2 linked regions of the Rattus norvegicus genome follow. The protein of the gene in region 2 purifies or fractionates together with the protein of the main gene of each other region. This does not show direct contact. Links are inferred from orthologs where the notes say so. Each region holds a gene or a part of one and is shown on either strand. Other genes may lie near its edges.

Region 1 (16,069 bases), on a different chromosome or scaffold from region 2:
CTCACAGCACAGGGCCTTGGCAGGCTTCTGCTGCACAGTGAGAACTTGCCCTGAGCTGATATATGCAGAAGCGCCCAGTTCCTAGGAACCCATTTCCTCAGCTGTCTCTGGAAGACCTGTGGGTGCTTTTGACTTTGTATTCCATAGTACAAATACTCATTTCATAAATATTTAATACAAGCCGCCATGACTCACTCGGGAGCTCAGCCTCTAGGGCTCGGGAGGTCTGTTGCTAATGTCACCCAGCATGATTTACAGGAAGTAGTGATCTGCCATGTTCTCCAAGTGAACAGAATGCATACAGGATGCTTCTACTTAGGGGATTTTGGTAAAGAGAAATAAACAAGTTTAAAAGTGGCAGTATTTCTCTTGACTTAAAAGTCTACGTAACCTGAAAGGGGGTCCTCCAGCAAACCCCACAAAGTCAAACCAAACCAAATTACCCACATTTAGCTGTGCAATCCAGAGTGTAACCACATCAAGTGAGCCTGGTCACTGCAAAACATCATTTAAACTGCAGCTCTGACTTATTGTTCTCTTACTGCCCTAGAGCAATTTTGTTTTGAAGAGCACAGAACACCCTGTTCTGAATGTGGCTGGCACATGAACTCGGTGTGCTGACAGCAATTTGTTCTCCGATTAAAATGGGGGGGGGGGGGAATGCAGCAGTAACAAAAACTGGAGTGCAAGGAGCCCCAAACTGTACAGCTTGTATTTCAGGAAGCAAAACTGAGGACAAGGGCTATAGAACTTTTTAATGCTGTGACCGCCAGAGCCTAAGACGTTAGCTCGGTGAGTGTCTGCTTTCTCTTCTCTAATTATAGCAGCTGGCGTCTAATAGCTTTGCGCTGTCCCCAAACAATGACTGGGTCATAGGATCTGAATGGCAGTGTTGTAACAGCATTGCTACTAGAAAAGACTGGTCATCTGGCTAGAGAAAACCAGGTTGTGGCCAGTCAATCACACTGGGCAAGGGTTTCCAGGGGAGTGGATGTTACGAAGCCCCGAGGAGGTACGCAGACTCTTAAAGCAGCAGTGAGGCACATTAACCACTGACCACAAGGACACCACTCCTCTCAGGCCTGGGGCTCAGATCTCCCGCATACAGCCTGCTCCGCACCACTCTGTTCTAATTCAGGGGAAGGACCACTGTGAGGTGGACCCTAGCCCAGGCCCAGGGCAGGCAGGGCCCTGCCTACAAGAATGGCAGTTATGATCTTTGGTTCTTCCCTTTACAACCTCGCAGGATGTGAGCACACCTCGAAACTAACCACTGCCTCGAAACACTGCCACTAACAACTCTGGCTGTGGGGCGCTTGGGCTCTCTCTCCATCTATGGCGAGGTGACACCGGCTAGCCTGAAATTGCTAGGATAAGACAAGTGTGGTGGCATTTGGCAGGCAGAGGCAAGAGGTTGAGAGCTACCCAGCGAGCCCTGATCTCAAGCAAACAAGGAAAACAGCAGCAGCTCAGGCCTTGTGCGATGACTGAGTGGAGGAGTGCTTACTCTAGACTCTCAGATCACTAGGTCTGACTCCCAACCACACAAAAGAACCAAGAATTAAGAGTGGGCACAGTAGGGGTTGGGGATTTAGCTCAGTGGTAGAGCACTTGCCTAGCAAGCGCAAGGCCCTGGGTTCGATCCCCAGCTCCGGAAAAAAAAAGAAAAAAAAAAAAAAAAAAAAGAGTGGGCACAGTGGGATGGGCAATTCGGGGGAAATCTGATGACCATGTGACTCAAGAGGCAGAGAGGCCAGAGGACCAGTATTTCAAGGCCAGCCTTAGTGGCATGAGACCTTGTCTCTGAAGAAAACAAAGGACTGGACCGATGGCCTGGCTGTTAAGTGTTAGCATGGTTGCTCTTGGAGAGGACCTGGGATTCAGTTCCCAGCAGCCACGTGTGTCACAACTGCTCATAAGCCCAGTTCCAGGGGATATGACGCCCTCTTCTGGCCTCCTCAGGCACCAGGCATGCATGTATAGATATACAGGGAGGCAAAACACACATTTTTTTTTTTTTAATTGTAAAGAAAAAAAAGAGGCTAAGCTCTACCTGAAAGCATCTGACAGAGCTGGCATTCATTTGTCTGCCCACAGGCAAGCCGTGCATTAAGTGTGGGTGTGATGACCTCAGGAGCGACACACAGGGCCATTCCTCTACACTAGTAGGGAGTCGCCCTCCACCGAACAGTTGAGGGTCCCTGTAAGAATGCATTTTATGTCCCACACAGTACAAGGAAGAGGCCAGCAGGGCAGGCTGGAACTCTGCACACCTTTGTACACCACAGCTCAGGACCCCAGTACGTATTTACTTTATGACCAATCAGAAGACAGACAGGGCTTTTAAGGAAACAGTGGCAATTTTCCTTTCTGAATCTATCAGTTGCACCCTTATTTATTCACTTTTGTTTTTTGGAGAGAATCTATCAGTTGTACCCTTATTTATTCACTTTTGTTTTGTGGAGACAGAGTTTCTCTGTATAATCCTTGCTGTCCTGGAACTCACTCTATAGACCAGGTTGGCCTTGAACTTGACATCCAGCAGCCTCTGGTCCTAATCGTGTGTGCCACCACACCTAGCTTTTGTTTTGTTTGTCCTCTGATTGTAACCAGCTCCAGGAGGCTATCAAATGCACCACTGACCCAGAGCTTTTGTTTTGTACACGATCCTAAAATGTACCATGCATTACTGGTTTGTTGTATTTTTTATTATGATTTGACCCCACTTGAAGACCTGGAGATACATTCTAGAGAAAGGAGCTACCTACATCTAAAACACAGGGGAGAGAACACTGCACACTTAGACTGAGAATGCACAGTGCTGCTTTCTGAGAAATAATGAATGGTTTAAAAACCCCTGACTTTGCTGGGCGATGGTGGCACACACCTTAATCCCAGTGTTTGGTAGGCAGAGGCAGGTGGATCTCTGTGAGTCTGAGGCCAGCCTGGTGTACAGAGTTGAGCTCCAGGACAGCCAGGGCTACAGAGAAACCCTGTCTCAAAACGAAAACCAAACCAAACCAAACCAAAACAACTAAATAAAAAACCAAACCAACCCCGTGATTTCGTCCTGTGGTCATGTGCTGCCATCACTCAGTATGTGAAAGGCAACTGAACAACAGAACACAGCACTTTCGGACATTAGTGTGACATACATGAACATACATGAAGCCTTTACTCTACCTCAATTTCATGTATGTGTGCCTTCCTTCATGTGCAGGGAACAAACAGCCTGACCATGTTGCTTTGACTTTATGAGTCCTGGTGCCTTTGACTGCTGTCATTCATTCATTCATTCATGCATGCATCCCTGGCTATCCCTAAACTCACAGAGATCCACCTGCCTCTGCTCCCAGTGACAGGTGCCACTATGTTAGGCTCCACCTTATTTTTTTAAAACAGGGTCCCTCACAGACTCTGATTTGATTAGACCAGATGGCCAGTGAGCTCAACACCATGTGTGCAGTGCGTGTGTGTGCACCTGTGTACAGAGGCCTTGGGGGAGTAAGAGGGCATCAGCTGTCCTGCAACTGGGGTTATGGTTGTGTGTTACCCAACATGGGTACCAGGCATTAAGCTCCAGTCCTCAAGTGTTTTGTTTGCTGGCCTGGATATTTTTCTAGCATATTCCACTGCCACCTGCCCTGTGCAAGTCTCCACACAACCCTGCTCTGCAGATCTTCTGTCCCATGACTGACAAGACGACCCTTACTCCCCCTCCTTCCTCTTCACTGGTCCCCACACCGGTCTTCCTTCCTTGCCCACTGCTCAGCTCACCAGCGTGGGTGAGAGGCACTGCCCACCTTACTCCGGCTCTTACGGAGTTTCAGTGTTAATGCACACGGAAATGCACGGTGTTGACGCACACTAGCTTCCAGACTTCTTTATCTCCTTTCCATTTTCAGAGATGTCTGGACAGGATTTTGGCTTTGTTAGTTTTTAACTACTTCTGTGTTCCCGCTCTCTGTATCTGCCCTATATCTTCTCACACTTGCTGACCAATCCTTGCCGTCTGCACACATACACCTGAAGATGTTCAAAGGACGGCAGCTACCTGTCACTGACATCCTAAGCAGGCAACATGACAGCTTCTTCCCAACAGGGTGATTGTGAAGGAGACAGGTCAAGATTTCTTATGTATTTAGGCTATACACACAGGCTGGGGATGCCCTGCCTGACTGCTGGTGTACGGCTCTACCTTCCAGAGACAGAACTCTTCACAGCATTATTCACCACTGTGGAGCGCTGCCACGCCCAGCCCAAGGCAGACACCTGCAGCCTCTGAGTTGCCCCTGCTGCACTCTGGAGCCAGGCTTTAGCTTTTGAGCAGAAATCACGAGACAGGGGGTTGGGGATTTAGCTCAGTGGTAGAGCACTTGCCTAGGAAGCGCAAGGCCCTGGGTTTGGTCCTCAGCTCCGAAAAAAAGAACAAAAAAAAAAAAAAAAAAAAAAATCACGAGACAGATCCTCAGGCAGTTCATTTCCAGGCCTTGGCTGCAAACTGGAGTCACTGGGGAGTTTAAAATATTTGCCTCTGCCAGTCTCTCCTTTGAGACTTACTAACGGGTTGGAGGCTTGGGCACTGAGATAGCTCTCACTAGGCAAGGCTGAGGGTCGTGCAGTAGAGCAGCTTACTAGTTTGGCTGCCCCATACTGTTTGATAGCAGCCCTGATGATTCCCCATAGCCTGTTTTGGCTCCCTTGCACCCGCTGACTGCGAGTCTGGAGTTCTGCCTGCACTTGCTAAGAACAGCGTGTACCTCCACAGAGGTCTCCTCAGCGCCTGCTTCAGGCTGGATTTACAGAACGCAGTCTCCATCCGTCTAAGCCCATGTATGTATGCATTTCATAAGCTCCCATGTCTAATCCATTTCTCTGTCTCTCTCTTCTCACTGTTTTGAGACAGAGTCTCATTGTGTAGCTCTGGCTGTCCTGGAACTCACTAGCAGACCAAGCTGGCCTTGAACTTACAGATTCTCCAACTGCAGCCTCCAGAGTGCTGGGTTTCAGGGTATGCATCACCTCGAGTACCTCCCTCCTTCTCTACCTATATAGCATTTCATCTGGTTAGGAGGGAGGGACCGGGAGATTTCAGTTGAAACTCTGCTCTGAAAGCACCATGCCCTGCAGCTCCGTTCAAAAGGAGCTGAAAGCCTGGGGCCAAAGAGCCCAGGAGCCCACGATGCTGCTGTGGTCAGTTCCCACCTCCAACACCACCGATCTGAAACCCAAAATAGGAGCTCACAGCAGAGGGACGGGAGCTACTCAGAGCTCTGCTTCAGCGCAGTTAGATGGTCTTTGACTGCAAAGTTTTCGAGTGGCGATGCAGCCAGGGCAAGCGAATACACAAGTGTGATGATGCAAGTGTCAGTCCTCACGACCACGCCCCCTAGAGCCCTCAGAGCACACTGCCTTCTCTATGATGGAAAAGGGCAACACAGAACACAAGCAGTACGACAGTCATTTTACCTGGCAAGAAAAAGCACAGGAGAAGCTTCAACTGATTTGTAAAAATGAGAATTTTGATAAGAGTAAAAAAGCACACTGTTTTGAGAAAAAAATAAATGTCACAATGTGAAAAGCAGCAGCAGATGATGGTGTACAGCCTTCCAACCAGCCACTCACGCAAAAACACAGCCGACCACCACTGAGAAGAAACACACCAAGACGGAGACTATCACTACACACAGATTCACCAGGGATTGGTGCAGGAAACAGACGGTGTCAGGATTCCTTCCTTAAGCCCCGGTGAAGGAAGCACACAAGTTATGAACACAGCACAGGGGTAGAAGGGAAAGCCTGTCACATCGGAGGGACCCCATGTCACACCTATCACAATCAAACTGGAAAATCAGCCTCATTTACACACAATACAACCAGATGCTCAAGGGAGTAATCGCAAGACTCCATAGTTCAGACTAAGACCTCCAAAGTCCAAATGTAGCCCATGCCTGACCATTCTGTTTTACCCAGAAACCCAGAAACTCTTGGTATTTACCACAATGGGCGACCTGACACACAGCTGGGCCTGCAGATGTAAACTAACTGTGGCTATACTGCAAAGAGAAGTCCCAGATGAGCAAAGGAGAACGAATTGTGGTGCTGAGTGGCACTGTACGTATATGGCACTGTAAAAATTGTTACATGTATGAGCATTCTGCTTGCGTGTATATCTGTGTACCACATGTGTGCCTAATGCCCTCAGAGGCCAGAGCAGGGCTTAAGATTCCCCGGGCCTGGAGTTATACAGTTGTGAGCCGCCATGAACATGCTGGGAACTGAACGTCGGTCTCTGAGGAAGCAGCCAGTGCTCTTACCTGCTCTGCCCAGTACTCAATGTTTTAAATACACATGTGGCTGAACAGAGCCCTGTGCAAATGCTTGTCTACACTTCTGAAGTACACTCCCGAGCTCCAGGAGCATGAAGTCCCACCACACAAACACACACGAGCACTTGACAGTGTCTAGATGCTATTTTCCAGGGGCAGGAAACAGCTCCTTGGTGAAAGGGATGATCCCAGGCCTGGAGCAGCAGGATTTTCAAGTGATCTTAGAGCCTCTCACAGCACCATAGAGTGAGGAGACAAAGTGAAAGCAGTTAACAGTGTTCTCTACAAACAACAAGCAAGGCAGTGACACAGTGAACAGAGCCCATGGGAGGGAGGACACTCTCCACGGTCAGCATCTTACTGGAAAAGACAATCCCCCTAGTGTGTGCTGACAAATTAAACAGCAAAATCAACACAGGGAGGGAGAAGAGACAGCTCTTCCTTGCAGTGGAACACAACATACAGCTATAAATCACACACACAGTAATGGCCGCTGTACGGAACCTCGCTAGTGCGTGGGCCGTGTAAAGGTTGGTGGCCTCCCAGCACTCCTTTTCCTGCCTCACTCAGCGCTTACGAAGAGTAACTTCACAGAGAGAAACACAGGAGGCACTACCCTCGCCCAGCACTCACCAGTAGAAGCTGGGGTCGTGGAGGAGGTGGAGGAGGAGGTGGTGATGGTGGTGGTGGAGGTGGAGGAGGTGGTGGTGGTGGTGGTGGAGGAGGTGGAGATGAAGTACTAAAGAGGGCACCGCGCCACCCACAGGCCATTCTCTAAAAGCTCCATCTAGTCCCTACAGGCATGAGACACACCTAAAGCGTGGTGTTCTCCAGCAAATGGAGAGTCATCTTCAGATGTGTCAAAGTCACAGGAAACAAAGACAGAAGACTAACTCATTAGAAAGGAATAAAGCCACGGGAGCTAAATGCGGCTCCAGAGTCTGAACGTGAATTCAGACTAGAGAAGGAGTCCGTGTGGTAACTAACGGGAGCGGGACAGGGATGGCGCTAACCTCCTGCTCTCAACAAACGCTCTGTCAAATCAATCAAACAGAACAGATTATTATGAATCACTGACTCTGGGGGAGTTCCCATAGCACAGAAAAGAAACTGCTGTGTAGATTTGAATTTTTCATAATAAAAGATGAAACCATATTACGAGTAAGTTTTTAAGTGGCTGTTACAGCTCTCTCTAATCCTTGCAATTTTCATAAACGTGACTCCCACTGAGGGTGTTTTGGGGCTGTCAGTGGAGCCTCTGAAACCAAGAACCCCAGCACGGCCTCAGTCTAGGAAGGGGTGAGGGCGCAGAGGTCCAGCTAGCCTTAGACCCCAGTCTCCTGCTCCTGTCTGAGGTCATCTTTGTTCCAGAACAAACCCCGAGTGACACGTATGTACATGCCAAAGTTAGGACAACCACTCTGGTTGTTTAAATCGCCTCTCTTCTTCCTGTAGAGAGTCTAACGACTTCCTCCTCAGGGAGGGACCGGCTCCTGCAGTCCTCACTGCTTACCTTCCACCGTGGCTCCTTCATTGGGGTTTGAGTAGCCTTCTCCTTTTCGTTTGATTCTCCGGATAATGCCTGAATCTTCAAATAGATCCTCGCCTTTGAAGTCAAGGAGTTCAATCTAGAACGGAAAAGATGAAGCCAGTTTAACAGATGGGTATTTTATAGAACTTTAAACTACATCTTGATGCACACGGCTTGGAGAGAACTCGGTGTAATGGCACTGTCTAGGACTTCATCCTGTGGGGCTGCAGTGCAAAGACAGACAGGAAATACTAGGACAACTGCCTTGTGGGCCAGAGGCCAGAAGTACAAGGTGCTGGCACAGAACAATCTTGGCTGACTCGCAGGACACCCGTTTCCCACCCAGATTTGTGGCGTTTCCATCTTAAGATTTAAGAATCTGGCCTTCAACCAACTGAGATGAGCTTTTCACCATGTTAGATAAAGATCCAGTTTGGCCAATTATATGTAATTAATTCAACACAGTAAACAGTGCACCAACACTCACTGATCCTGATGGATTTGAGGAGACAGTCGTAAACCTTCACAACTTAACACTCCCCACCACCATTTCCGGCCTGTCAGCTTGGAGTATGTCTTACTTTCCTCTGCTGACCAGAACTTTTACTTCTACATCTGCGTCTTTTGTTTGTTTGGATATGCCCATTTTGTGCCAGAGACACATTTCTAAGAAAGCACTGGCACATCCCCTGGGTGTGTGGGAAACAATTCAAGGAGCCAAGCTCCAAAATAAATAAGCCGGAGCAGGCTCTCAGCTCTCAGCGGAAGCCCAGCTCCATGTCGCTCTGCGGTGCGGCACAGCACAGCCGACGCGGCGGCAACACACATACTTGCCTCGAAAAAGAGAGTTGCGTTCGAGGGAATTTTCGGGAGGCTGCCAGCAGAGCCGTAAGCGTATTCTGGTTTACATAATAAGTGGCAGATCTCGCCTTTCTTCATGGTAGACACCCCAATATCCCAGGCTTTGATAACCTGGCCTAAGAGAAAGCAAGAAAACAAAGGAAAAAAACAAACAAATCTGTCAAACAAAATCTTCAAACAAAATCCAGATCCGACAAATCCTAAGGATTATAAAATTTGGGAAGTTTCCTCTCTTGCCAGCTTCAGAAACTCAGCTTTACCGCCCAACTGTGGGGCTGTAGCAGGCAACCTGTTCCGTGTTATATTTACAAGTCGTTGTTTTGAAATTTTGAGATGGCCTCAGGCCGTATAAACTAGCCTAGAACTCCTAATCCTGCTGATCACCTCGTCTCCAGATTCCTGGATGACAGGTGTGTGCACCACGCTTGAGTCATACTCTTAGCTCTTGTCATGTGCACCATTAATCATGTCTCATTTAGGGGCTAGAGACATGGCTCAGTGGTGGAGAGCACTGGCTGCTCTTCTAAAGGACCCAGGTTCAATTCCCGGTGCCTGCACGGCAGTTCACAGCTGTCTGTAACTTCAGTTCCAGGGGACTAGATGCCCTCACACAGATACACATGGAGGCTAAACATCAATGTTCATAAAATAAAAAGAAATAAAATAAAACAAAACTATGTCTTATTGTAAGCAGTCTCAAACCCTTTGGGAAACAACAAAGAATTTTAGCACTAACAACAAAACACACTTGAGGTGCTATGTCAATCAAAACCTTAGACATGTGGGCCACAGAGATGCGCAGGCAAAGCTACCTGCTGACGAGCTTGCTGACCTGACGTTGATCCCCAGGACTCAAGTGATGGGGGGTGGGGGGAAGGGGGGAGATTGATTCCTGTAAGGTTGTTCTCTGACTTCCACACACAAACATGTTCAAGTAGGACCGGATAAACAGTGAAGTTCAGAGGAAGTAGAGCGACAGACTAGACCCGGTACACTAGGACCAAGGGACCCTGTCTGTATGGAGGCAAGGAGAAAAGGCGATTGCTATCTGGGACTTCAGCTCAGTCTCTGTCATGACAGAGCACCAGCTCCACTTCCTTGTAACTTTCCACAGCACATGCTTATCATAAGACTCCACATGCCAGGTGGTGGCGGCAACACCTTTAATCCCAGCACTTGGGAGGCAGAGGCGGGAAGATCTGAGTTCAAGGCCAGTCTAGTCCACAGAGAGGGCTCCAAGACAGCCAGGACTACACAGTGAGATGCTGTCTTGAAAGTCAAAACAAAACAATACAAAAACAGGAAAAAGAAAAGAAAAGCCTATGGCAGTGTGCTGTCATTCAGTTCTGAACTCCTTTTCACTTAATGATGTCATCTCCTTTCTGGGTTACTAGAGGGGAGATATGCAATGTAGGGGGTTCAACGTGCCGGATTCCAACCTGAGGTCTTTGAAAACCTGTGAAGTTCAATGTTTCCTGACTTGGGAACCTTAATAAGAGCCGCAGTCCAAATGCACGGCACAGTGACACGCAGTGTCTGGTGTTAGTCCAATTCAGTAAAGGAAAGCTGCCCCTGCAGCCACCACCACAGATAACCCTCTCTCTTGGTCATTTGAGACAGGGTCTTACTATACAGCTCGGCTCAGCTCAAACTCATAATCTTCCTACCTCAGCTTCTTAAGTGCTGGATCACAGATCTAACCAGTGCTCCTCCATGTCACTCCTTAGGCGTGCACATGTGAGGAGTGTACAGTCTGTGTAGGATGTGTGCCTGAGCCATGGTGGACACGTGGGGGTCAGAAGGCAACTTTGTAGTCAGTGTCTCCTTACACCTTGACAGGGCTCCAGGGGTCACCTTACCAGCCCCATCTATCTCCATTCTTCTTTTAAAATGGATTACTTTACTTATTGCATGTGTGCACGTGTCACAAGAACTGGTGGCAAACGGTACTGGGCTCTAAAGGTGAGCCCTGCTCCTGTCCCTCACAGGATCCTGCAATGCACAGGAGTTACTACAGGAAGGTCTGGGCCGACGCTGCTGTCATTACTGACACAGGGTCTTAGGTGCCCCAACGCTGACCTCCTTCTTCTTCATTACCAAGGATAACCCTGACCCTCTCCTCCTCTGCCTGCACCCCCTTCCCATCTGCTGTTGGAATCACAGGTGGGAACCACCTCATTCCCTGACCAGCTTTCTAAACAGCAGCGCCAAGAAGACACTGAAACGTAGAGAACACTAGTTGAAAACTTCTGAAATCCTTGCAACCAAGGAAATTGTCACCTGTAAATTACACACATAGCTTCTGTTTGGTGTATGTTGACTTTCACATGCTATTCTGAGAACTGAGCTGATTCATTGTTTGGTCTGCAGCTTCTCAACACCGCTCACGTTATAAAAGCCGCTTTCTTGATGTTGTCTGAACACTCGCCCTTTACTAACCAGACCACTCCATTTTAGCTCAGGGCGATACTTTCCTTTGCTACCATCAGATGCCAGTGAACAATCGTGTGTCTGACTGACTTTCTGTGGTAAAGCCTGTAACTGAGAGGTTCAGGACTGGCTGACATTAAACTGTTAAGCGAAGAATCATGCAAAACAACATACACATCTTAAAATTTAGAACATGGCCAGCTTGCTAATTCATGGAATGTTAGTGGCCACGGCTTTGTCTGTGAGTATGGCCATTCCAGGTTAGAGAAAAATTCCTTTAATGCAGAATAAGACCTGAACAATGCAGGATCAATATGTAGGCACTCCTGGTGGAGTGTCCGAAGGCCACTTACTTTAACTGCTTACCGCCTCGAGTTCAGTGGCATCCAAGAGGGCTTTCAGCACTTCTTGGGGCAGATCTGCACGAGTGTCCTACAAGTTTCTCACACAGTCCTCTCCCTCTTTACCACTAATCTTGATGTTTCCTAAATCTACTGAAACAAAATACTTGGAAAAAGTACACCTGGGTATTAGGTTAAAGATGACTCTTATTAAGAGAAATAAAAACGCAGTCCCAGGTAATGGCCAGGTGCTGACATTTGCAGCCAGGCTGTTGTCTGAGGTGAGCCTGGGGCTCAGAGCAAGGCCAACTCAGTCGCCACTGCGCACAAACAAGAGTATAAAACACCACCTCAAGACAAAACAAGAACACTTAACATTTCATCTAAGCTTGGATAAAAAATAAGGTCACTGTGCACCCAAATATATCAAACAGCCCCCTCTCATGGCTGCTCTGGGCAACTGTTGCATCCCACCATGGGTTAATCCAGGCTCATTCTCCAGCCCAGGATCACCCAGTACCCTGTCTACTCTGCTTGTCCAGAACTACCCAGATCACACCAGAGCCCACAACGCTACCAACAACTTTCCTGCCACGCACTCTCCAATCCTGTACGTCCCTACTGTGTACCTTTCTGGAAAGGACTAAACCTAGATTGTCCAACTGCAGCGTGCTCCTGGTGGTCTGTGGCTGGGGAGGGTCAATGCCCAGGGCACTTGTGGGTATCTGCAAACAAAACTAGACCAAACGCTAGAAGGAGAACCAGTGGGCCAGAAGCACCAACATTTCAAAGAGTCTTCCTCTTTAGGATCTTTTTCCTGTAGACAGAATATGCCAAAAAAATGTTTTAAAAAATTTATTCTGGGGTTGGGGATTTAGCTCAGTGGTAGAGCACTTGCCTAGCAAGCACAAGGCCCTGGGTTCGGTCCCCAGCTCCGGAAAAAAAAAAAAAAAAAAAAAAAAGACTTTTATTCCTACATTTGATCTGGGTCTCAATTTTACTACCTCAAACACAATGTTTCAATTTTAGGAGTTCTATTCCACTTGTAACAAAATATCAAATAGTACATACTTACACCTCTTGTATCTACAAAGACACAGGAATTTGAATTGAAAGGCAATGTTGGGAAATAGCTCTGCAGGTCAAGTGTGAGGCCCTGAGTTCCAGCCCCGGCTCCATGTAAAAGCCAGGCGCAGGGACAGTGCTGCTAAGCCAGTGCGAGAAGCAGAGAGAGACGTGGAGCTGAATGGGTGAGTCCTAGATCCAAAGGGGAGGAGGCCCTTCCTCAAAGCAGCACGGACAGCTCCAAGGCCGATCTTTACACACACACACACACACACACACACACACACACACACACACACACACGATCTTCACACACACACATACAAACGTGAACCTTACACCCATCTGCACAACACACACAAGTAAGTAAGCAAAATGTTACACTAAGCCAGGGTAAGAGCCATGTGGTATATTTTTTTCTTTCTTCTGTAGTAATATATATATTACTATTAAAAAACCCACACAATACTTTAAAAAACACTTCCCTTTATAATGAAAACGACTTTATTAATAATGGACGGACTAGCGGTTTTACTGCATAGCTCCCCTGGCTTCAAACAGGTTTTGCTGTGATTGAACAAAGTGCACTTGATATGACTACACACACCTGCTACGCAGCCTGCCTCCAGAATGTTCTTCTTCTGGCTTTACCCATCTGAAACTTTATACTTGATTACATACCCCCTCCTCTCAGCCACCGGCAAACATTCTTTTTCTATAAACACATAATACAAGTGGAGGCAAACAGCATTCACGTTTTGGTTGAATTCTTTCATTTAGTAGAATGTCTTTGGGGTTCATCACGGATGCAGCATGTGCCAGACTTTTCCTCTCCTCTAGGACTGAGCAATGAAGTGTGGTGGCACAGACATTTAATCCCAATACTCGGGAGGCAGAGGCAGGAGGATCTGTCAGTTTGAGGCCAGTCTGGTCTACAGAGTGAGTTCCAGGACAGCCAGGGCTGCACAGGGAAACCCTGTTTCAAAAAAACCAAAGGTGGGGCGGAGGGGAGGGACCTGCATAATGATCCACCATGCGGCGGTTTCACATTCTGTTTCGGTCAGGTGCAGAAGGACACTTCAGTTGCCTCCACCCTGGACACAGTGTCCACATCGCTGTTAACGTGTGTGTGCACATGAGAACCTTTGCATAGTCCCTTTGATCCCTACCCAGCAGACTGCTGGATCACGGCCGAGTCTTCGGTGTTTAAATGTGTTTTTCTTTAACATTATTTTATTTATTTTCCCTTATTTTATGCGCATTAGTGTTCCGCTTACATGGCGGTGGCTGGGAATTAATGGGTCCTGGAAGAGCAGCCAGGGTCTGAACTGCAGGGCCCTCTCTCCAGCTCTAATCTCTCTTTTTTGTTTCTTTTCAGGCAGAGCTTCTTTCTCTGTGTGTTCCTGGCCGTCCTGGAACTCACTCTGTAGACCAGGCTGGCCTGGAACTCATACAGATCCTCCTGCCTCTGCCTCCCAAGTGGAAGATGAAAGGTGTGCGCGACTGCCAAGCTTCAGTCCTGTCATTAAGTGTACTGAGTGTGACGTAAAGTGTCTGTAGGCTTAGGAGTATGAGATGTATGAAGTATAACATTTCTGTTACACATTAACTTCACAGCATCATCGTGCATTTTGTGTTTACAGACCCTACAGACTGCCATGCGTCCTTGCCCAGAGAAGAGCAGCAGGTGTGGAGCACACATGCGCACACACATGCGCACACACATGCTGTGGGCCATTCTCTCCCCCCACTGCACTGCCTCACACCTGAGGTGTGAGTTCACTGTGTGCAAGTGAACAGACCTGTGGGCCTCCACCTGTCTCCACATGGACAAACAAAACCACTTTCATGCTGTCAGATTCTAAACATACTCAGATCTTATACGCAGGCATATGTTTAAAAGTTGCACACTCAGTGATTTTCAGCAGGGGTGACAAGAGACATCCTTAGAAAAGGAATTCTTTTCAACACTGTTAGGAGAACTGGACACTGATATTTTCTACCTCCTAGAATGCTGGAGATAGATGACGACTTGAAGAAAGGACTTCTCTGTCTCACTTCACAATCAAGGAAGGATGCTTTAGAGAAAAAAAGTCAAGTGGACAACAGCACTGCAAACAAAATCAAAACTAACACGAGCACACAAGGGCAACTGTCCCGTTCTATCCTGGAACACAGCGCACTGTGCTAACAACCAGGTCTTAGACTGATTCTGTTTCTCTTTCCCAACTTCCTGGGACAAAAAAAAAAGTTAGCTAAGCATCGTTTCAAAAGGTTTTATATGACTGCTCAGTAAGGAGAGTTACGACACAAGAGGTTACAATAGTTTTTACTGTGCTGGGCTGATGTACGCTATGGTATGTGGTATTTTCACCTCAACGTTATACAGTGGTTTATAATAAGAGCAGTTATTCACAGTGTAGACAATGAACTTGGAGTTTAAAGGTCAGTACAGGGGGCTGGGGATTTAGCTCCGTGGTAGAGCGCTTACCTAGGAAGCGCAAGGCCCTGGGTTCGGTCCCCAGCTCCGAAAAAAAAAGAACCAAAAAAAAAAAAAAAAAAAGTCAGTACAGGAAGGGCAGTAGGCACACAACAGGGGAGAGGGCAGAGGGCACACAGTAGGAGGTAGAGGCAGTGGGCACACAGTAGGGGGCAGGGGGCACTGGGCACACAGTAGGGGAAGGGCAGTGGGCACACAGTGGGGGGAGAGCAGTGCTCTATTTATGTACATTTTTCAATAAAGTTTTTATAGTTACTCATAATAGTCCTATTTAAAATACTAATCTCAGGCCAGATGTGGTGATGCGTATCTTTAGTCCCAGCACTTTGGAGACAGAGGCAGGTATACCACTTTGAGTTCGAGGCCAGCCTACGCTACAAAGTAAGGTCCAAGACAGGAGGGGCTACATAGAGAAGACTGTATCTTAAAACAAAACAAAACCAAACAAAACACCGAAGTCATACTAGAATCCCAAAATTGCCTGGACCTTCTCTTTGGAATATTTCTGTGTACTTCCTGGGAGACCTACACTCTAAGGGACTAGGGACTCCAGAGACAATAATTATGCTACTTTCTACTTCTATTTCTTCTTTATTTTGACGGAGTAGCAACTGTTACAATATTAATACAAGATCTATCTAAATGGCTTGGCTAGTTTTCCCCTTTTCCTGAGACAGGGTCTTGCTGTGAGGTACAACACAGCTTTGAACTCAGAGCTCTACTTTGCCTCCTGTGTTGGCCAGTTTTACATCAACTTGACACAAGCTGGAGTCATCTGAGAGGAGAGCATCTCAATTGTGAGGACCATTGTGGGTGGTCCCTGGACTGGTGATCCTGGGTTCTTTAAGAAAGCAGGCTGAGCAAGCCATGATGAGCAAGCCAGTCAGCCCTCTGTGTCCTCCTGCAGGTTCCTGCCCTGCCTGAGTTCCTGTTCTGACTTCTTTCAATGATGACCAGTGATATGGAAGTGTAAGCCAAACAAACCCTTTCCTCCCCAAATTGCCTTTGGTCG
Region 2 (16,007 bases):
CTGGGAATTGAACTCAGGACCTCTGGAAGAGCAGTCAGTGCTCTTTTTTTTTTTTTTTTTGGTTCTTTTTTTTCCGGAGCTGGGGACCGAACCCAGGGCCTTGCGCTTCCTAGGTAAGCGCTCTACCACTGAGCTAAATCCCCAGCCCCTGCAGTCAGTGCTCTTAACTGATGAGCCATCTCTCCAGCCCCAAGACTGTATCTTAAAAAAATAAAATACAGCAGAAAACAAAACAAAACATGGTAACAGAGTGCATTCCTTCAAGATATTAAGTAGCAGTTTGTCTTTGGAGGCGTGGCCATTAGAAGGTTGGGAGACTTCCAGGGGATGGCCTCCCACCTGTGCACTTGCCATAGACACAGATTGTGTTAAAAAGAGATAGGCGTGAAGAATGTTGGAAGGAGGATTTGCTGGGAGGGACCTGGGGAGATTTGGGAGGAAGAAACGAGTGGTGGGTATGATAGTCATTATATATGCATATGGAATTCTCAAAGAACATATTTGTTTAAAGGCAAAAAATATTAAAAAACAAAAATCAAGATAAAAAGACAAGGCATTCTTCAAAATCTTATCAGTGACAGCAATAATGGTTCTTGTGGACTTTGCCTCCTAGAAGGGGGAAGAGAGAGAGGAACTGTCACAAAAAGCAAAACACAAATTACTGAGCGTGAAATCAAGTGAGTCCCCTGTGCTAGGGACATGGAGCAGGGTCGGGGGTGGGGCGGTTAGTGTACAGGAGGCTTGCCGGTCACGTGGGTCCTGCAGAAAGATGCCCTGAGACGTGACTGTGAGCAAAGGCTTGACACAGACAAGGATGTTGTCTGTGAGGGTTGTTTGGAGCCAGACAAAGCCAAGAGGAGCAGGTTGTTTTATTTTAGCCCCTGATGCTGCCAGCTTCCTTCAGCATCATCTCTCCTGAGCCAAACAAACAGTGCAGGGAGCCTTGGCCCTCACAGGGAGCCTCCGCCCTCAGTCTCTGTTGCTATTCCATCTCCTCTGTCCTTTCAGGAGGAACTTTCTGACTTCTGTTTTCTGGCCAACTCCTTTAATCTGTTGTGCTTTTCTACAATGGGTGCAGCTCTCCTGTAAGCTACCAGGGATCAGAAGCCAAAAAATCCTGGCCTTTCCCAGTTCACTCTGCGCTTCCTACTTTAAAAATATACAGTTGGGGAATGCACGGCCTTTTGCCGTTTTTACATTTTTTTCTAGCTTTTATTTTTATTTCACATATATGGGTATTTTGCTGACATGTATGTCTGTGCACCATGTGTGTGCACAGTGTCTGCGGAGATCAGAAGAAGGTGTTGGATGCCCTGGGACTGGAGTTACAAACAGTCGTGAGCTGACAATTTCTACCAGCTACTGTTTTGTCTTTTTAGCCTGTTTTATGTTGCTATAATAAACTACCCGAGACAGGGTATTTTATGAAGTCAGAGCTTCCTTTGCCACACAGTTATGATGGCTATAGAATCCAAATAACATGGAGTCAGGGGCCAGGTGACATCACCCTGGCTGTGTTGTGACAGTGAAGAGAAACCATCTGTGAGCATTCGTGGTGGCTTACTCTGCCAAGTGTGTTCTTGAGGTAACTGATTTGCTCTGTGGAAGCAGCGTTAATCCCTGCTGCTAGAAAAGAAGTGACCCCAAGCCCAAAGACCGTGTGCTAGATACCACTTTAAAAAAAAAAAAGATTTATTTCACTTATTTGGGATTGGAGACACGTGTGTCACAGGAGTGCAGGTGCCCTTAGCAGTCCTGGAGCGGTTGTCACAGGCAGTGGTGAGCCACCCAACCTGGCTGCTGAGAACTGAACCTGAGTCCCCTGAGAAGGCAGCAAGCACTTCTCTTCCCCACTGAGCCACAGAGCCAGCCTCTCAGAGCCACAGCTTAAAGATGGCACTGGAGATCAAGCCTTCAGAGGGCCGTTGGGGAAGTGGCATTCTCTGTTGCCAATTCTCACAGGCCCCCTGCCCTCCCCGCATGCCTCCCCTGTGGGTCTGGTGTAGTCAGTTTTTCTCCCAGCGACTGTATGTGGGTCTGGTATAGTTCCTGGTATCTCCTCTCTGTGCATGTTCTCTTGGGCAGCCACATCTGGTGATTTCAAGGACAGCCTTATCAGGTGAGATATATATATATATATATATATCTCCAGACATAGCCATTCTCTGCAATTAGGCTAACAGTTTGATTGAGGTGCATAGTACTTCAAACTCAAGAGGACTGGACAGGAGCTCATAGCCTTCTCTTCCAAACTCATTACTTGACTATGTGTGGTGTAAGAAGCCGCCTAGACTCCAGGACAGGAAGCTGTCAGCTATTCACCTCCCACTGCCCTCTCCAGCCCTACCTACGAGACCCCACAGGCAATCACTGGAGGAGATCTATGTCACGTCAGCCAATAGTCACCGCTCTCCTTCTGTGACAGAGTCGCATATCTGTGGTCCTGGAACGGTCTCAGGCTGGAGATGAGACAATCCAGCCGGTGAGATGTAAAATGATGCTCACACGAAGCAGGGTGTGGGAGCGCATGCTTGGAACCCCAGCATTCAGGAGGCTGAGGCAGGAGGAGCACAATGAGCTCCAGGCCAGCAGCCCAGGTTACAGAGTAGGACCACTCCGTTTAAATATTTAAAAAGGCAGCCTGGTGGTGGTGGTGTCTGTAATCCCAGCACTCTGAAGGCAGAGCCAGGGAGACCTCTGAGTTTGAGACCAGCCTGGTCTACAGAGTGAGTCGGGACAGTCAGGGCTACACAGAGAAACTCTGTCTTGCAAAAACCAGATAGATAGATAGATAGATAGATAGATAGATAGATAGATAGATAGATAGATAGACAAATACACAGATAGACAGATAGACCCAGAGAAAGACACACAGAGAGGCAGTGTGGCACATTGCTAGAAGGAGCATAAAGGGGTCCAGTGATCCCCCAAGTCCATCCTCAGGGTATTGACATGAGAAAACATGGAATGTGCCAGGATATAGCTCAGCGGTGGGTGTTTGCCTAGCCTGTGTGAAGTCCTGATCTGATTGCCAGTGCTACAGAAAAAGGGAGGGAGGGAGGGGAAGTGGGAGGGAGAGAGACGAAGTTCATCATTCTTGTACAGTGTCCGTCTTCTTTCCTAATCTCTATATGACTCTAAGTTTAGCATATGTGCTGCCAACATAAGTCCCCTTAAGGAGAATGTTAGTTATTTTGTGTTTCTAGTTCTCAGATGTTTGCTGACTGAGTCAGTAGCTTAGGATGAATAGTTTTATAGCCTTGTTCATTTTGGACTCCCACAATACCTTCCTGCATTATCCAGCGGTCATACTTCCAATGCTGATGATAATGTACCTCGGGTCTCAGTACATACTGTCCCTCTTAGAGATAGGGAAGAGTTAGAAGTACAAAATCTGAGGCTCAGAGGCTCTGAGAAGATGGGCTAAGATAACAAACAGTACCTTGGGGATTCATTTATGAAAGATGTTAAGAGTAACCAAAAGATGTCACCTTCAGGGAAAGACCTTGAGCTGTTTGGATCTAAAACACCTAGTTGCTCAGAATGCATGGCTTTCTTCTATAAGCTAATCTTCACAGCTTTCTCCCGGAGTCATTCTCACTTTTAAAATGACGAAAGTTTAGAGACTAACTCTAAGGTATTTTTAGATGCATTTAACTAAAACACTAAGATGCTAGCAGGTGTCACTACCAACTTTCATAAAACCCTGCCATTCTGCCAGCACTGTCCAACAGAGTGTCCTCCGTGATGGAACTTTCCACACGGCCGGCATCAGCCACACATGGCTCCTGAGCCCCGGGAATGTGAGACGGAGGGGCTGGTGTTTTAGACTTAACTGAATCACTTAAATTGAAATATTTAAGGGCTGGGGATGTAGTCCAGTGGGAGAGCATTTGCCTAGTGTGCACAAGCTCCTGGGTTCAATCCCAGAGCCAACAATGGCAAAAGAAATAAAGAAAAGATAGAAATATATAATACTTTCATCACCAAATCTGAACAGTTCAGTCAGGTCTGTGTTTTATGTTCCTGGTCAGGAAAGTTTAAATTATACTTAGTAACAACTTCAAGATATTGTAGCTTAAAGGGGTATAGTGGATTTTTTTATTTGTTTGTTTTGTGTGTGTGTGTGTGTGTGTGTGTGTATGTGTATGTGTATGTGTGTATGTATGTGTGTAAGGGGGATGATAGGTACATGTGTGAATGCAAGTGTTGTCAGAGGTCAAAGGGGATTGGATCCCCTGGAGCTGGGGTTACAGGTGGTTGCGAGATGCTTGATGGTGATGTTGGGATCTACTAGAAAGTTAATTTAGGGCCTCTGCGAGAGCAGTGTGGGCTTTTAGCCCACAGACCCATCTCTCCAGCCCAACCAGAAAGTTTTATTTCTCTCTCCCACTGTATGTGTCATTTGGGAGCTCCGTTCTTTATCTCCTCACCCAAGGCTCACCCTGAGTGCCTCAGTCCCATATAGCAGTGAAAACATAGCAAATCTGAGAGCCTCGCTCTGGGAATCCAGTGAATGCTCCGCCCACATGCCCATCACTTCCTTTCACAGTCCATTGGCCAGAACAAATCGTGATGTCCTCTCCTCCCCCACCCACTAACGAGGCAGGAAGTACCATTTGTTACTAGTACATCTGTTACTAGGACATCTGTCTGATTATGGATGGTCCAGAGACAGAAATCCCAAAGGAATAGCAGTAATGGCTAAGTACTCCTAGTCAAATGATTATGTTTTAAAGAGTTAAGTGTGTGTCTGTCGTGGGAGGAAAGATGCACAAATAGCAGGAAAGCTTTTACAAAATAGGAATGAAGGAAAGTTTCAATGTTTTAGAGACATATGCATAATTTTTATTTATCTTTCCAATAGGCAGACCCATTGAAAGAAAGAGAGAGAAAAAAAGTACATAGATAATTTGTCTTCCACTTAAAATTAAAGATGATAATTGTTCGTCTTTTGTTTTGAGACAGGGTTTCTCTGTGAAGCCTTGGCTGCCCTGGAACTCACTCTGTAGACCAGGCTGGCCTCGAACTCACAGATCTGCCTGCTTCTGCCTCCTGAGTGCTGGGATTAAAGGTGTACATCACCACCTCATGGCGAAAGAAGATAATTTGTTCATTTAACTAAAAAAAAAAAAAAGTGCTTCATAGATAATAAAACAAGTCTGTTCTGCAGCTACAGGACCGTATAGACACCCCAATGCAGCCAGTCTGTCACAGACATTTTGAGGCCATGTTCGAGAATCTGCAAGAATCCTTACTTCCACCTAGGAACCTTGGCTTATTGCCCTCCTTACCGTCCAGAAGGCAGAGGAAGCCACCTCTGTGGCGGGGACTCTGTCTATGCGCATGGGCCGGCGAGAGTTTAGAGAGGCTTCCTGGTCCACCCACCCAGAGCAGCAGCGATCCGTGCAGTGGCCCACCAGCCCCTTTGCCTTGTGACCACTGGAAGGAGGGTCTCTGGCTCCTGGGTTTTCCCTTACAGCAGCTTGTCCCGCATGCCTTGCTCTTCCTGGTGGCCCACCTTGGAGCATGCAGCAGAGTTGGACATGTGTTGGGGAAGAACAGGCTTTGGGGACAGAGTTTGTACATCAAACCCTAGCGACTTACATCTGATACTGAGTGTTCTCTGTACACTTGACTATGTCTTAGCGTTGTTAAGAAGATTACACAAGATTAGATCCACAAACTAAAAGGTGCTCAATAAACATCTATTTCGTAGACTGCTTCCTTTAAAGTGTGGTATGTGATATGTGGAGTTGAGCTTAATGATTTAAATGTGCCCGGATCAGAAGTGGCTAAGCGGTTTTTCCTCTTGTGCGGCATGGTCTTAATCTTTCATTTCTGTAGCCTGAAGGGATTAGCATTATCTGTTGGGGGCAGCTAGATTACGTAATTAATTCACCTCATACTTAAAAGCACCACTTCCCACTAAGTCACACAGCCTTACTTAAGTTGCGGGCATTTAAAACCCAACGTGTAAGAATTTAAATCAGATTAAAACCTGACGGGAGTAAGCATTGTTTTGACTTGCTGCTGATTATCCGGGTCTGCATCCCCCGAATCATGATCCAATGGGAAACATCAGCTGCCTCTTCAACAGAAGAATGGTCTACAAATCCGATAGAGACGTGATTACCGGAAAGATCTCAGACGCTGGACACAGCAAGCCTCGAAATTTCCATTTGAACCCTGGGATGGCGCCTTAGAGAAATTACTTAACTTCTCAGAGCCTCCGTGACCACGCTTATACGGTGGAATAATAATAGTAGTTATTTCAGTGAGTTGTAAGAATAAGGTATGCATTTTCTCTGATTTATTCAAGTAGTCACTGAAAATCCTTGACCGGAACAGGTCTGAATCCCACACCATATCCGCACTGGCATCTTGCTAGGTTGAATACGATCTGTTCTCTGCGCACACACACACCCTGTCAGCCCCCACCCAGCCCACACACTTCACCTTGCAGGTGCAGTGGGCAGGTTTTGTCCAATGGCTTGCTCATATACACAAAGACGGCTTTCTGGAGGATTATCTGCATGCATTTTTCCCCCCTTCTTTCATCTCAGACACTGGGTGGATAGTTACCATTTTTAAATTCTCTCTTAATTGGTTCGTCCTCCTAAAGGATACATAGTGGTCTCTGGTTTCTAGGCTACTATATTGCCTGAGATGATCCCTTGATGAAGTAATTTGAGTTTCCCAAGCTTCCTTTAGTGGACGAGTGTATCAGCCGGGCGGATCTCCTGCTGAGGGGTCTCTGTGTGCACATGTGCCTGGTGGTGCCCCACGATTGAATTGCATCTCTGGAGCTCCAGTATCTCCATCATCAGTGGGAGCTTAGGTTCCTTGTCGCTTTTGCCATCTCTGAAGACAATTAGGACTCGGTAGCAGGTGAGAGCTGAAACTCAACTCTAGCCGGCAGCCCAGTTTGAACTCCCGAAATCTGGGTGTACTTAAGCAGTAAACACTGTGATAGCCACTGGAGGAGGAAGAGTGAACCCTGGAATCATCACAAATAGTCCCAAGCAAGTCCATTTGTTGACAACTTTATCCAAGGGACCACGTTCCTACAGACCTCCCTAAGCCAGACTAATCCCCTCCACGCCACAGAAGTCTTTCAGTTGGGGCGGGGGTGGGGGTGGGCTGGACTGTAAGGGAATACAAGCATGGCAGACCTCAGCAATTACCAGCTCCGGCTCTAGAACTTCCCAGTTGTCTGTCTCCCAGTCTGTCCCATAAAGAAATAGAGTTTTGGGCCCAGGGACTCATCAAAATGGTTGAAACTGTTCTGAAGAGCTAGCTCTTTTCACGTCACCTCAGTTTATGTCTTTTCTTTCTTTAAGGCAACAATAACAGCAATAACCTTCCATTGCACTCTCTTTGTGTGTTGTACCGTTGCCTTCAACATTTTTAAACATTCCAGGCAGCGAGAGAGAACACAGATCTCTGATCCAGTATGAATGAGGGCACGAAGCTTCTTAGTAAGCAGACACAGGAAACCAAATGGCTACAGGTCTGAGAGGGAAAGAAGGATGGACAAAGTCAAACGACAGAGAGAAGACGCAGACTGAGGAGAGGAGACTGGTTAAGCACCAGTTCAGTTACCCACGGAATTCCACACTGGGTTTTTTTTAAAGGTGATACAAAAGATTGCAGAGGCAACTTCTTAAAATAGTCATTGTGTTTCTTATTGTTATGTGTGTGGGCTTCTTGCCTGCAGGCATGTCTGTGTAACACATATGCAGGACCCAAGGAGGCCAGAAGAGGGTGCTGCACTTCCTGGGACTGAAGTAACAGACAGTTGCCAGCCACCACATGGGTGCTGGGTACCAAACCTGGCCCTGTGAGAGAGCAGCCAGTGGTCTTAAGCACTGAACACCTCTCCAGCCACAAGCATCATTGTGTCCATCATAATGAGAACCAGGAAAACTTAAAAAGAACAGAGTGTGGTAGCATACACCTTTAATCCCAGCAACTGAGAGGCAGAGGCAGAGGCAGAGGCAGAGGCAGAGGCAGAGGCAGGGGCAGGGGCAGGGGCAGGGGCAGGGGCAGGGGCAGGGGCAGGGGCAGGGGCAGGGGCAGAGGCAGAGGCAGAGGCAGAGGCAGAGGCAGAGGCAGAGGCAGGTTAAAACTATTTAAAAATATCTCTCTGACCTCACAAGCTACAGTTATATGTCACCACATCTGTGGGTTATAAAGTGACACACGAGAGTCACCTGTGACAGGGGCTGGTGTAGCACTTCAGCTCCTCGACCTGTCTTTGCTGTGGGCACCAACATCTATTTAAAAGACTCAAACTGGGGTTGGGGATTTAGCTCAGTGGTAGAGCACTTGCCTAGCAACTGCAAGGCCCTGGGTTCGGTCCCCAGCTCCGAAAAAAAGAAAAAGAAAAAAAAATTTAAAAGACCCAAACTGATATTTTTATGGCTCTCCTGAAAGTCTTGATTTTGAGGAACTGCTGCCAGTTTCCAAGTCCTAATACCCAAATCTATATTTGGAATCTCTTGAAAAGTGAATATTTTAACATAAATCAGAGTCAGAGGAAAAGATTTACAGACCCCCAGTGTCCATTTAGGTTCCTTAGACCCCAAGTCATTTACTAAACAGTTTACGTGTTCTAGTTTTTCCCAGTTGTGTTTCATCTCCCACAGGTTTCATCTCTGTGTTAGAACAGAAGCATAGGGATATCACAAGATTACAGAGGCCACGTCTGCCTCCTCCTTCCCGCCATTGCTAGAACTGAGTGCCACATACTGTATCGAATTGATTTTCCATTGTGACCAATTTTACTCTATAGGTAGCTGTTCTTTGTAAGAGTCCCCTGTAGATCAGAAAGGCAGGGTTTCTGCCTCCCTTCTGGCTGCTTAGGTAAGAGGAAATCAGGGGCAGAGAGATGCTCAGTGGCTAAAAGCACTTCTTGTTCTTGCAGAAGACCAGGTGCTTCTCCAAAACCCACACAAGCTGGCTCACAACTGTCTGTCACTCGAGTTTCAGGGATCTGGTGCCAGGTTTTGGCCTTCTGAGGAACCAGGTGTACATGTGATACCCATACTTACATAAGCTAGAACACTCACAACAAAATTTAAATATTTTTTTAAAAGTAGGAGGAGTCTGTAGCAACAAAAGAAGCAATAGCGACACCAAGGCAGGCAAACATTGGAGCGTTTTTTTGATGAGGCTGCAGCTAGAGCTTTTGCCTATCGCACCCCAGGCCCTGGGTTCAGTCTTTAGTTCAAGAAGGAATGTTGTTTTTTTGACAATGGTGTGAGGGATTTAACCCTTCACCTTGGAGATTGTAGTTTGAGTTCAGTTCATCCTGCTCTTGACTAGTTAGTTTGAAATGGCACAGGAATAAAAACAAAAACAAAACTCAAAAAACTCGAGAAAATGTTTTGCACAGGGAATACCACATGGTTAATATTGCTGATGGTAATTTCAACTGTGCATGGTCAAGATACAAAACTTAGGCCTTTTATAAAATGCTCTGGGAAATAGCTTTAATTCTAAACTTCTTCCTTGGTTTTTAAAGACAAGCCATTGCTGAAGAACCAGACGGCAGACGTCTTTGGTTCATAGACGCCTTTAAATTGGGAAAGTCAGAGATAGAGATCAACAAGAAAGTCACAAAGAACAGGAGACCTCCCTGTGAGTGACACTCGGGTGCACACATAAGGGATATCCCAGGGGTTTCCACCAGGAGACATGGCCAAGGTGTGCTTGCCAACGTGGTCCTATCAGAGAATAGTACTTAGGATTTAGAATCTGGCCAGGGACACATAGAGGGCTGGCTGGCCCTGTACCTGGTTTCATTTTAACTCTACCCAGATTACTGTCCCTCCTACCCAGGGCAGAGGCTCAGTAGAGGAAGTGCTCCTGAGACACTTGAGTGTGTCTGTGCTTGGCTTTGGGGAGTGTTCTGCCAGCCTTCTGTGCATGCTGGCAGAAGCTAGCTGTGCATGAAATACCTTTTAGGGCACAATGTTTCTGGGAAAATCTACCATTGTAGCCTTTGCCCCTTGAAACTGATTGAGAAGAGAATTCACCACTGAGATGATAAGGATCCCGACTTAGCAAGAAATGTCACTTCAGCACCGAATATCCCGCACCCCAGGAAGGAAACCTTGCAGCCTTTGGGGAAAGTGGGTCTGTTGGTCAACTTTCACCCTGATGTGTCTTGCCAGCTGACACAGAGGCCTGCCTAGCTAAGAAAAAGACGATGTCACAGGAGCTTTTTATTCTACCAGTATTGGTGGACATCTTCAAGCTGTTACTCAGGAGTCCACCACAGCTCCGGGAGTAGAAGTGGCCATGCACATCCTCATCCCTTCTCCAGCTTAGGGAGTGGGGTTCTGAAGGAGGTTGCCCTAGGAGTAGGGATAAAGTTCTAGACCCCGGACAGGGGCGGACACTTCCGTCCTCCATCAGAGATCCATTGATCCATTGCTCGTGGTTCTGGCCGCTCACCTGCAAAGACGTAGATGACCTCACCTTTTCTTTTCACCAACATTTGTTAACCCCGGCTAGGAGGTGTCCCTTCCTGTAGGAGGCAGAAAGGTCACACATTTCTGGCTTTAGCTCCACTCCGGAAACTGCAAAGAGAGACTCCTCTGTAGGGAGGAAAAGAGAAGAGCATTGATATAGTATTTCCTGAACTCTTCCACAGGACACGTATTTTGTCTGCCTGTTGTAACATCCGTTACTCAAAGAGATGTCAAAATAGGCAGACTCACTCCTAATTTATGCTGACTCAGGGTTTGTTACCGAATCTGCGATAGTTGTCAAATGTTCCTTATTTAATTCAGTTCAGTGCACACTCACCAAACACTAGTGGATGAAGTTGGGGAAGGATCTGGCACCCAGCGGTGTGCCAAGGTGTGTTAACTGTGCTCCCACCAAGTCAGGCCGAGGGCATCAGGTGGGCTGGATAGCCTAAGGAAGGTTTAAAACCTTGTCAGATACCTTTGTCTCTGAAGACAGTCTAAATAAACTCTAAGGCATGACCTTCATAAATTTAAGTTTTTTTGAAATATCTTTATGTAGTACCTTCATCCTTACATCCTTACAAAGACAGATGTTCCTTGGCTTACCATAGGGATATATCCTGGTAAGCCATTGTAAATTCTTGGGTTCAATCCCCAGCATAAAAGAAAGACAATAAATATCATAAATCAAAGTGTATTTTTAAATTTATTTTTTACTTTATATGTGCAGGTATTTTGCCTCTGTGTAGGTCTGTGCACTGTGCATGCAGGGCCTGAGGCAGGAGATCAGTGGGGTATCAGGTCCCCTGAGACTGGAGGTACAGATGTGCTGTGAGTGCTGGGAATGGAACCTGGGAATTGATCCTCTGGAAAAACAGCTCTTGCTTTTAACCACTGAGACATCTCTCCAGCTCCATCAAAAATGCACTTAGTAAGGCTGGAGAGATGGCTCAGCAGTTAAGAGCACTGGCCATTCTTTCGGAAGTCTTGACTTCAATTCTCAGCACCTGCATGGTGGCTCACAATGGGCTATAACTGTAGTCCCACAGGATCTGATGCCCTCTTCTGGTGTGTAGAAACACATGCAGACAAAATACCCAAAATAAACAAATATAAAAATGCATTTACTAAGACCCTATATCAAAACGATAATAAGCATTTAGCAAACCTAACTTGTAGGACGTCAGAGCTTAGCAATGCTGTACACTGTGGAAGGCTGGCTGTTTCCGCCTTGTGACTGTGCTACTGGGAACTTGTAACAGTCTGCCACAACCCAGTGTGGAAAAAGTGCATTGCTAGATCCCAAAATGACCAAAACTTGGAATAAAGGCACCCATGGGCCCTGGTTCTAGAACTACCGTGGTTATTATTTATTATTATTTATTTTACTTTATTATTATTTATTATTAATTACATCTAGTGTGGTACACACTGTGTAAATAGTTACACAGCATCTTAAAGAAAACAATGACAAGAGAAAATTGGTTATGTTAGGTACTTTCTGTGTTAAGACACATTTCCCCCTGAATTGTGGAGTTGTCTGAATCTGAAACTGACAGGCACAGACAGTCCTGGAACCCAGGGGCACGGAAGGCCCATTTTATGGTTACTACTGAATGCATATAGCTTTCAGTTTATTATAATGTCGAATCAACTCTTAAATGAAAGCATTGCCCATCGGGAGAAGCCTGTATTTGACTGGTGGGCACCCTGGCAGTTTGCAGTTCCACAGACACCTGTGTTTATTACACACCCTTGGTCTCTGTGAACACTCATTGAGGTGACGAGCCAGGTCCTTCCTAAGTTAACGTTCAGTTAAGGGACTCATCTGCACGAGAGGGAAGAAACTTCCCAGCAGATAGCTGTGTGCTAAACACGAACGAACATGTGTGTGGCGACTTCCACAGTTCCTGCCACAAAGTAGGCACTGAACAATTGTCATTGCTGGGGGCATGAGCAGACCAGAGCAGGAGCCCTGGTCACCAAATGTGTGCACAGAACTTGCCTTCAGCGTCCTCACATGCAGGCCATGTTTTTCCAGGCCCCTGGTCTGAATAGCTCATAATTTATCAGAGACAGACTTCTATGTTTGGCACACCAAAGGCATAACATGTTGTAATGATATCATTTGCTTGAAGCTGTTCACACCCAAGGGGAAGGGAGAAGCTTGCACTGTCAGCCTTGCCTTGCTTGGTCTGGACTTCTCTGGTGTGTAGAAGCACATGCAGACAAAATACCCAAAATAAACAAATACAAAAATGCATTTACTAAGACCCTATATCAAAACGATAATAAGCATTTAGCAAACCTAACTTGTAGGACGTCAGAGCTTAGCAATGCTGTACACTGTGGAAGGCTGGCTGTTTCCGCCTTGTGACTGTAAATAAATCAATGCTGTGGGAAACCTGCAGTTCTGACTGACATCTTTGGTTTAAAATAATACATTTGCTAGGCTGGAATGGGGAGGAGGATTAATTTTTGCTGATCCAAATAGGACATTTTTCACAGGGATGCTATGATATTCCCTTTTTTACTCTCCAACTCACATCACAGCATAAACAGTTAAACAGCTAAAACAGACGTTGTGTACACTTAGCAGACTCTGTCAACTCAAATCCAAGCTGATTTAGGAGTTTGTCTCCAAGAGAAATCTCTTCTTGCCTTGGAGACAGTGGCATGAAAAGCTTGGGTTACCCTGGGGCTTCCTTGCCTTTCTAAAGCAGGGGTAGTAATGGAGTGGAAGAGGAAAAGAAAGGGAGGGGGGAGGGGAGGGGGAGGTGAAGAAGGAGAGGAGGGAAGAGGGGAGGGGAAGAGAGGAGGAAGGAGAAGAGGGGGAGAGAGGAAGAGAGGAAGAGGAAAGGAGAGAGAGAAGAGGAAGAGGGAGGAAGGGGGAGACAGAGAGAGAGACAGAGAGAGAGAGACAGAGAGAGAGAGAGACAGAGAGAGAGAGACAGAGAGAGAGAGAGAGAGAGAGACAGACAGAGAGAGAGACACACACACAGAGAGAGAGAGAGAGAGAGAGAGAGAGAGAGAGAGAGAGAGAGAGAGAGAGACTAATCAAAAGGATTCAAGTTGGCTGTGGATTGCCAGACTCTCCTTGCTAAGTCACAGTGAAAGAAAATGTAAAAGCCAGGAAGAAAAAGAGAGGAAGGAGAGAGGAGAGAAGCCGGGAGGCGGCAGACGGCTCTCCCTCAGTGATCTCAGCCAGGCAAGCCCTTCCACTCCAGTGACTGCTCATTAGCTTAGTGAATCTGACAGCGTAATTATCACAGCTGCTTTGCCCTTAGAATAAATAAATACGAAAGTGGGTGCTTAAAAAGTTTTTTTGAGAAGGGAAATTCAGTCATCTAGACTGTCGGTAAGACAAGTTTATTTAAAACTTTTAGATTCTTATGTATTAGATCATTTCAGAGGAAATAATGAGATAGTTGTCTCTCAGTCTAATTGAGTTCCTGGGCTCCTGGCAGCTGGCTGTCACCCCTTTCAAACCTCGCTTTGACTCTCTTCCTTAGAAATCCGATCCCAGTGTCTCCGTTTACTCTGCCCGTGCTGATAACCTGGGGAAGACCTGTGCACTGGAGTGCAGAAAGTGGCTTAATGGGATTGGGGCGCTGAATCACCACCGCAGGAAATGAGATAATCAAACCTCCCTGGTCTGTGCCGGCTGAAGGGGAGAGTCAAGGAGCTTGGAAATTCATCCTTGCAAAGTGTCTTTGCTGTTTCCCTGGTCATGTGATTCTGTGCTGGTCTCGAACATCATCAATCCACCAGCGACAGCTGCTCAGAGTGTTCGATTACTCAGAGTGCGCACTTCTGTCTGAGAAGGCCACCGTCTTGGCTCATTTGGGGACATGGCAGCTTCATGTCATCGAAACCCAAGGGATCACGGGGTTCCTTAAACTGCTAACCAACACTGAGTGCACTTCGGCTCCGACCAGGGGCGCGGGACACACCCATCTCTCACTAAAGCAGATGGTCTTTTCTTTTTACGTTAATTAGTACCTGCTTGTCTTTCCTCTCTGTCTCGCCTCACTTACTTGAACCCTTGTATTTAGTGAGCCGAGGTTTCATAAACATTCAGTTCATCCTGGGTTAAAAGAAACTGGTGTTAACCCACTGTGCAGATAGGAAAAAAAAAAAAAAATCAAGGCTTATGAAAGCCAGTGGTGCATCTGGGATTTGAGAAAGGAAAAAAGAACAAGGAAGCATAGGCCTTTAATTCTCAGTCCAGCGCTCAGAACCCTTGCACAGTTTGCTTTAATCCATTCTTAAAACCAAAAAATGGCATCACCAACACTACAGAAAATTCTGAAAGGAGGGAAAATGATCCAGAATATTCTAAAACATTTTTATTCTCTATATTAACTTTCAGGTTTGTTCACATGCAAATAACTTTCATAAGTAGATTATAATACGCCATTTTATAGTCTCAATTTTGTTTTTGGTTTTTGAGTCAGTGTCTCACTGTATATTTCTGGATGACCTGTAAATTTGCTATATATAGACCAGGCTGGCCTTGAATGCACAGAGAACCACCTGTGGCTGCCTTGAGTGCTGGGCTAAAGGCATTTGCTGGCTTTTCTCTCTTCTTTCCTCCTCCCCCTCCTCCTCCCCTCCCTTTCCCCCACCCCTTCCCTTCCTCCGACCCCTTCTCCCCTCCTCTTCCTCCTTCATTTCTATCCTTTCTTATTCTCTCTTTTGGTTTTATGTAGCTTATGGCCTTATGTGCTTATTATGTGCTACCAATATACTTCACACTCCTGTGAGCAGCTTCAATGGTATACAGCACAGGCAACACATTAATATTAATCCAATCCATTCTCCGGGGCTCAGTAATTAAATTGTTTATTTTTTAACTTTGTAATGTTCAAACCATTATATATATATATATATATATATATATATATATATATATATATATATCGCATTTGCATACATCTAAGTTTTGCTTTGCTTTGTTTCTTGAGTCGGCGTTTCTCTATATAGCCCTGGCTATCCTGGAACTCGAGCTGTAGACCAGGCTAGCCTAGAATGCAGAAGCTGCCTGCCTCTGCCTCCTGAGTACTGAGATCAAAGGTGTACACCGCCGTGGCCTGGCTTGCTGGTTATTTTTAGGCTTGCTCAATTGTTTAGCCTGGTAATTTCAGGGACAAACATATTGGTTGAATCTGATATTGATGGAAGGCACAGTCCCTGACCCCCACTTCTGTCAGCAGAAGATGCTTAGATTGGCACCTCACCTGCACTGGGGAGTCATTGGACTGAAGGAAAGAAACTTCGGCAGTTACTTGGTTTTATCTAGACCCTGCCTCCCAAGAGTCGCCTCCCACGTGATGTATGCTTCTTTGCTTTGGTACCTCTCGAATAAATTGCTATTTTATGCTTTTCTCCCATTCTCATTTGATTCTCGTTTTTCTTGCACGGTGGTTACAGAGTGAAACAAAAACAGTGACCGCCATTGAGTAAGAACTCCTAAGACCCAAGGGTGCCTGTGGACAGCATCACAAAGAGCAAGAGCAGCAGTGC

The links.
Region 1: the proteins of Cdk15 (region 2) and Fkbp5 purify together in Homo sapiens (affinity purification with mass spectrometry; 3 studies listed by BioGRID and IntAct, counting the BioPlex papers as one, with this or other methods). This does not show direct contact. The link is inferred for Rattus norvegicus from reciprocal best matches to the Homo sapiens genes CDK15 and FKBP5.

The regions. Positions count from the first base shown.
Region 1 is NC_086038.1:6,480,674-6,496,742, forward strand, and holds part of Fkbp5 (peptidyl-prolyl cis-trans isomerase FKBP5), read right to left. Parts: intron 8,838-16,069; coding exon 8,695-8,837; intron 7,958-8,694; coding exon 7,843-7,957; intron 1-7,842. UniProt on the Homo sapiens protein: Immunophilin protein with PPIase and co-chaperone activities. Component of unligated steroid receptors heterocomplexes through interaction with heat-shock protein 90 (HSP90).
Region 2 is NC_086027.1:68,288,037-68,304,043, reverse strand, and holds the end of Cdk15 (cyclin-dependent kinase 15), read right to left. Parts: intron 10,608-16,007; coding exon 10,498-10,607; 3' UTR 10,489-10,497; exon of another isoform or gene 10,465-10,488; intron 7,516-10,464; 3' UTR 4,826-7,515; downstream 1-4,825. UniProt on the Homo sapiens protein: Serine/threonine-protein kinase that acts like an antiapoptotic protein that counters TRAIL/TNFSF10-induced apoptosis by inducing phosphorylation of BIRC5 at 'Thr-34'.